Drosophila melanogaster: one gene and its partner. The protein of the gene in region 1 interacts with the protein of each later gene in a biochemical or structural test. Each region holds a gene or a part of one and is shown in the gene's direction. Other genes may lie near its edges.

Region 1 (3,757 bases):
AAGCCCTAGTGCAAACTGAAGTTTACTTACACTTATCCAACTGCTCTTCGTCGTCAGGCTCTTCATAGAAACTTTCGTCTATTGCAGTATCGTCTTCCATCTTCCCAAAGTTCATGTTCTCCAAGTTTTTAAGCTCAACTTCCAATTCTTCGCGCCGGAATTCTATAAACACATCAGCTTCACTTTTGCTTTTGCTCAACAATTTTTCCGTTCTAGGCGAATGCACTTTTGGCCTAAAGAACAGATGTGGTTTCGTTTTTGTTCGGATGTTATTTTTCGCATTCAACATAGTTGCTTCCCAGACCTTGAAGTCCTTCATTCTGGCCATTTTGTACTCTAATCTACGGATCTCGAATTGCTTTTTTTTCCTATCTAAGAATAGTGTTTCACGCTGTTTCCTCAGCATCGCTCTTTCCTGCAGTTCCTGCTTTTCCACCTTCCTATCGATCTCAGCCTTTTTATCCTCCTTGCTCTTCAGTCGCGATTCCTCCTGACAGAACTTCTGTAGGGTTCCCAACAGCGATCCGAACATCCTGCGATTCCTGGCCCTCGACTCAGAGTCTGTGCCCTGTGCCTCGACAATCTCCTTTTTAGTTGGCATCTCCCGGATGACCCGCGAGTTAATCCGTGGCGGACGACCCTCGTTTTCTTCGATTGGGAAACGGGAAATTGGATTCTTGCTTTCGTACATTCGCCGCTTGTCTTTGAAGACCCCACCGGGTGTTGCATTTCGGGGGAACGGTCGGTCCCCATTGTGCTCGTTCTTCTTGCCATCTTGGGTGTATTTGAATTTTTCCGATCTGAAATGCAGCGGCATTAAGTAATTAATTAAATTAAGCACAACTTGGATTCATACCTCTGCAGGGATTCCTTGGGGACGCGACCAGCAATGCGGCGAATGTTTTCATTTAGGATCACCAGCGACTGCTTGGCCGAATTCAGTTTTTGCTCCAAGTCGTCCACTGTCGATAGACCAGAGTCATTCACCATTGTTCCCACGTTTCAGTTAGGTTTTGTTTAATTAATTATTTTACTTAAGTCGGTACAATTAGATGCTCATAAAAGTAAAAAAACAATACTTAGGGATGAGAGGTTACTAGTGCTGGCGGAAAACAGCGATGGTCCTGGTACTATCGATTCGTCGTGACGGGACATCGATAGTTTTTACTTTTATATATATATATTTGTTATATACTTTTAAACGATCTCCTTATCTTTTCAAAATCCGAAATAATCTCCAACTACTATCTATGGGGAAAAAATTACAAATGCTTGTTCGGGAATCCCCTATAAAAAAAATATAACTACATTTCTTGTATTCTCAATTTAACTTTATAAGGCATTTGTATTTAAAAACAATGACATGATAATAGTTTTTGTTTATACCAATTTATTTATGATTAAGTAATCATATCAGCAATCAGTAAGTGACTGTCCTAAGTCTCATTTCTAGTCTCATGCACCTTGACGTAACCCCACTTGAACCTCTCGTCCGCCTGAAAGTATCTGTACTCGCAGATGAAATGAAACTAGATACCATGGGCGGACTGCGTAGGTTTCAGTTTCTTTGTCCGGCAAAAAGGATAAGACGGTCATCAGAGCGAGAGAAGTCGAGAGAACCATTGCAGCTGTCCGTCCGGAGAGCTTTCACAGTATATGTACTTTCGCGTACATTAAAAGGTCGGACCTGCACGCCTCCGTGACTTTTCAGCTTGTTTTTAAAATAGATTACAATGGACAGCGTGAAATTAGTGATGTCGATGTGGACACGCAAGCCTATGGACAAGGACATCTAAAATAGGGGTTAATATCGAAATGAGTGCAGTATGAAGTCAAAGTTTCGATGCCGACCAATTACACATCATATTCAGAGAAAAGAAGGACGATTATATTGAGCGAGACAAGCGGATGCACGTACATTCACATGTACAAAGGTCATAGTTGCAATGTTTACATCAAAAGCTTCCTGCGAAGCGCCTGCGCCCGCCGGAGGAGCTTTTTAGCCCAGGTTTGCAGGTGTAGTGCGATGGAATTTCGACGTGTTAGTTTCGCATCGCGGCTAGAAAAGTAATATAACTTTCTGCCAGTGCTCGTTATTTTCCACCTTGGTTTTTATTAAAAAAAAAAAAACAGTAGTTCAAGCATGGCTTAATACATTTATTTCGAGTGAAACCGCACTCAATATCCTGTGAATGTGCGCATACAAGAATAAGATATAGTAAAGTGTATCCTGGAATTTTGTCAAACATATACCAGTTCATACGAAAAGACATACACGCATACATACATACTTGTTCGTTGAATAAAATCAAAACCGTGACCATTTAAGTAATCTTCAAAACATTATTAACCAGTTTTCAGTGCTAAATGAAATACGAGACTATCAAATATCCTCGAAAATATCCTTTAACTTAGATATACCGTGTACGCAACTACTGGCAAAATATATAAACCTATGTGTTATACATACAATGTTATATCCCGTGTAGATGTGTAATTGAGTGCTCATGCACAAGTGTTGGTGTGCTCATCTTCCGTGAAAATTCAGATGATAAAATGTAACTTCTAACCAATTAAACGTACCAATCTGCAATAGTGGCCAATAGCGTACTAGATATGAAAGTCATTAAGTCGATGTAATCAACAACTAACCAGTGCTATTCCAATAAATATACAACATGGAGTTACTGCTGCTGTTTATGCTAGCACTTCAACTTATAGAATCCAGCATCGGAAGTAAAGATGGTAAGTCAAAACTTGTATCTTCAATGTTCAGAATGCTTAAAAAATAGTATCCAAAAATGAGCATGATTAAATTATTAATGAATGTAACTGTAAAACTTTTTTTGATTTCTTTAGCAAAAATTTTTGATTGCGGTTTGGTTGATTTAACATATCTTTTTTAGCTAACCGGCTAAGGCCATGTGATATATACATATATAAATATATATATATGTACCTACATATTTTCTCTTAGTATATTATTAGCTTTCCAAATCTTAAATGGTTAGCTTAAAATAAAAACAAATTATAACTTAATTTTTCCAGTACCAATTCACCAAATTGAATCTATAGTTGGTGAAAATATTTATCTTCCTTGCAATGTAACAACTTATGATGGTGATGAACCTGTGCTGGTTCTGTGGTACCGAGATGATAAGGGTACTCCAATTTACAGGTAAACTAATAAAACTAATTTTGTAATTTTTCATTAGTTTTTTGTTTACTTGACCTGCTTGTTACGAAACACTATCATCCATATATCTTTAGCATTGACATTCGAGCTGGAGTATCCAAAGCACCGAAAAGATGGTCGGACGACTCCGTATTTGGGGATAGAGCATATTTTATCTTTGACAAGGAACCGGGAAAACTGTCAATTCAGAATACGCAAGCATCCGACTCCGGAACTTATAGATGTCGCGTGGACTTCCTGAAAGCGCAGACCATAAACAGCCGCATTAGGCTCAATGTCATATGTGAGTAATTGACTTTGAAATCGCAACAGGAAGCTATAATTATGGTTTTGCTCGTTACTTGAGTTCCTTAAACAATCTGTTGGAGTATATAATAATAGTATTGTATCCTATCCCCCTATAATTTACCCAGCTCCACCCAAACAAGTTATTATTCGAGACAGCTCCAATGTTGAGCGTTCTACAGTTGTGGGACCATATAGCGAAGGCGACATCGTATCCCTGAAATGCCAAGTAATTGGAGGTACGAATTCCATCTCTTTCGCCAGCAGTAATCAGTA
Region 2 (3,757 bases), about 14 Mb from region 1:
AACGTGCCTGTGGAGTTGGTTCTGCTGGTCCAATTTTCCCATGAACATTTTTCATCTGCTCTAGCGTGCAGCAAATCTGATTCATACCTGGCATAGTCCGAAACAATAGTTTGCTGTCTTCTATTTTCATGTTGGTAATGCTAATGGATGTATCTTTCTCTTCCAGTCCAGCAATACTAAGGCTCTCCAGATCCTCTTTAAAGCGGCGCTCATTATCTGCATCATTCAGTACAGCCAATGCTTGAGAGCTTAGGTTTATAGGCATATCTAATTCTGGAGGTGGTTCTTCATCCTCCAGGAGGGGAAAATATTGCTGCTCTATATCTGCCTGAACCTTTTTCATCCGTTCCTTTTCTATGGAACTAAGCATTGCTTCCAAATCTGAACGATCCTCATATTTCGCACAGTCTACCAAAATAAATGGTGCAGCCTGGTCATCTATCTCTTGGGATTGGGGTTCCACGTTCAGTCGAATAGGCTCCGTGTTGACAACTCTCGATGGTTCAGGTTGTTCTACTTTTGGTGTCCGATCTCTACGACTCTTCTTCTTCATGACGGCTGAAAAATAATTATTTTTAGACTAAAAAATACTATTTGTTAAAAATATTTAATCAAAAATATACTTATTTTCTACCATCACATTTTCACATAAGCCTCCTAATTTTTTTTCGTACACCTTTTTATGTATCATTCAAGTCAAATTAGCAGCGCCAATCGCATTGTGCTTGATTGTGGCCAAGTCGGCAAAGCCGTGATTAGGCCAACAAGAAACACTCACCTGGTCGCCACGAACTCGATGCTGCCACTCCCACGGTTGTTGTTTCGCTGTTGGCTCGGCTGCAAACAGAAATTTAAATCCCTCAAAAGTACTCGGCGAAGAAAAACGAAATTGAAAAGGATAAAAGTTTTGCGTGCCCCAGAATCAACAGGGACGAACCTTCAGCCCCTGATCCAGCTTCTGCTCCTGAATTTTGCTCCTGTCTTGGCTCCTGGGCACTTGTAGCTGCCTCTGGCCAAAAAGTGGTGGATAGTAGGAGGAGCGTTGGCGGACAGGAACACAATCCGTAAACCAAAACTTTATTTTGTGCTGATAAAAACTTAAATGTTGCTGCCGCTGCCACGCAATCGTAAATGTTTGATATCCCCAAAGGTTAACAATTTCCGTTGCCGCTTGGATCTGCTCTGCTTCGGCCCAAGTTAGTTTTCTTTATTTTGTTTGCCAAGAATTTTGCGGTTGGCCAACTAAACCGCATACACACAGCTGGTGTGGGAGTGTCTTTGGGCTGTCTGTTCGACTGCTGTGAATGTTTTTGTTTGTGTCTAGAATGGGACCAGGAATACGGATAGGGCCCCTGCTACTTGGGGAAAGGCGTACTCTGTTCAATTTAGATCATCTATGTGGAGCTATAGGAATGGACAATCCTGTATTCCGGGAGCTGGTGTTCCCAAATTTTGATATTCAAAATGGTTCTTCGAAAGTCACTGCGCCTGACAATTACGGCAATGCTTTAAATTATATTGTAAAAATAAGAAAACGAAAATGTTGTTCTCCATCTAATACTTTCTCACTCATTACAGCAGAAAACGAATAAATATATGCAATTTCTTTCTTAAATTGTATAAAGAATTTATATTTTTAATAATCAACTCTGAACTCAAAACTACGATTTCCCTAAAAATTGTGAGAGTAAATGCTTTTTTAAAACAAAGCAAATTAAAGCAAAGCAAAAATTTGAAAGTAAAGCAGTAAGTATCATACCAAGAATTTAATTCTTAACTGAGCGTGAAGGGCAGAGCACTAGAAATGCCCTTTCTCTTAACTTTACGATATTCGCAGCCCCACTCACAGGACTAAAAAGCTCTCTCTGCCGCCCAGAACAATAAGTTCCGAGGACTCGGCTCGAAGCGCACACGACGATTCATAAACAAATCGAGCTGTTCCTGGCCGTGGCGATTCAGTTGAATTCGTTACGAGCTGGCGAAAGGACGTGCTTGGCGGTCGTCGTCGTGGTGAAAGGCTATTATATCGAGTGGCATTCGGTGTCTGAGGTCCACGTTCGTGTGTCAGAGTTTGGCCAAAACTAAGGCGCGAAAACACATTTGCGGCGAGTGCGATTTTGTCGAGTTTTACTCAGTGTTTTCCATCGAGCTTTCTTAGCTTGCTAAAACGTGTGCGGGCAATTAAAGTTTCTAGCGTCCCACTGACTGATGGTCGCGCAAATGGCCATTGCAAATTGCATGTTTTCGTGGCGAGTAGTGCATGTCGCAGCATGACACCGAGAGCCCAATAGCAAATGCATGTGAGCCAGCCGAAGAGGGCTTAAAGTGTTTTTTGGCCAGCCCTTGTTCGCCAAAGTGGAATTATCGTCCAGCAAGACAAACGGCACGCAAGGCCGGGCTAATGAAAGCCCCATCAAAGGCAAGTGCAAATTTGTGCTAGGGGTTGGGCAGGAAATCTAATTAAAGACGAAATGGCAAATGCGGAGCATAAAATAATTGCAAATGTAGATGAAACCTGGTGGCAGCATGTGAGTCCCAGGAAATGGGTTTCGCTTGACAAAAAACAAAACCCCAACCACACAACCGAAAGGAATTCGCATACATATCAAATTTATGAAAGGCAACCTCACACACACATTTCCACATGTGGCTATGTGTGTGTGTGAGAGTGAGTGCCCTGGCCAGAACTGAAATTTATTTATTTGTTTTCCTTACTTACGAGGCAGAAGGGACAGGAAAAAGTAAAACTACACCGGCAGCTGAGTTCGGAAAACTCTAATAAAAACAAATGTTGAACAATGGATGTGTGGCACTTTAAATTACTGAAATATGTTCGCTAGTCTTGCAACTTTCAGTAACATGAGAAAAATGATTACCTATAAAATATTTTTAACACTTGTTCAATCATTTTTTGATTATCCAATGATTAGTCCTTTTGTGGCAAAGTCCTTTAATAAACACTTACCAAGTTCAGTTCGTTGGCTCTGGGAAAACATACAGAGGTGGTCAAAAGTATTTTCACAACGCACAATATTTGCAAACTTCAACTTCTTTTTGTTATATTTCTTCTTGTTGTTGTCCGATTTGCCTGAAATAGTTCTTATCGCTTAGCTTGATCTATGCAGAAGGTAGTCGAAAAGAAATACGAAAGATAACGGTTCATAGTACAAAGCTTAAAGCAAAAGAAAATATGCATGCAAGTTGTCAATAGTATTTTCACATGTTTATTGCGCTTCAAAAGTATTTTCACTCAACTTAATTTAGTAAATTTCAGCTTAACATCTAATTTCAACATAAGAATTTCTTTATTTTATATAAATACAATACTAATATTTTGTAACACCACCTTTGGCATCAATAACTGCTTGAAGTCTTTTTGGTATTGACCTTACCAAAGTTTGTGCAAATTCTAATGTCAATTTGGACCAAATCTCCGCTATTTCAATGATGGCTCCCTCTCGTTTTCTATTTTTATCAATAGTTCGTTGGTTTTTAATAAAAGCCCAAACGTTTTCAATGATATTAAGGTCTGGGCTTTGGGGGGGCCACGGAAGAACCGCCAGATTAAGGTCGTTTAAAAATTTTGTTGGTATCCTACCCTTATGGCATGGAGCATTGTCCTGCTGAAGAATCCATTCAGTAGTTGGAAAAAGTCTATTTCCAGACGTAAAAGCATGGTTGTTTAAGATAAGAAGGTATCCGTTCTGATTTAAAGTTCCTTCTATCGGTACCAAGTCTCCGAATCCATAATAGGAAA

What was found. Proteins that work in one complex are often made in the same cells at the same time.
Region 2: the proteins of side-VII (region 1) and beat-IV form a complex in vitro, tested with the Drosophila melanogaster proteins (one study listed by BioGRID).

Annotation. Positions count from the first base shown.
Region 1 is NT_033777.3:9,738,242-9,741,998, reverse strand, and holds the start of side-VII (sidestep VII), read left to right. Parts: upstream 1-2,019; 5' UTR 2,020-2,678; coding exon 2,679-2,745; intron 2,746-3,048; coding exon 3,049-3,178; intron 3,179-3,270; coding exon 3,271-3,479; intron 3,480-3,609; coding exon 3,610-3,720; intron 3,721-3,757. Other genes in the region: Pnn (pinin), read right to left, coding at 31-800, 857-990.
Region 2 is NT_033777.3:23,555,455-23,559,211, forward strand, and holds the start of beat-IV (beaten path IV), read left to right. Parts: upstream 1-1,957; 5' UTR 1,958-2,419; intron 2,420-3,757. Other genes in the region: CG10164 (uncharacterized protein), read right to left, coding at 1-553.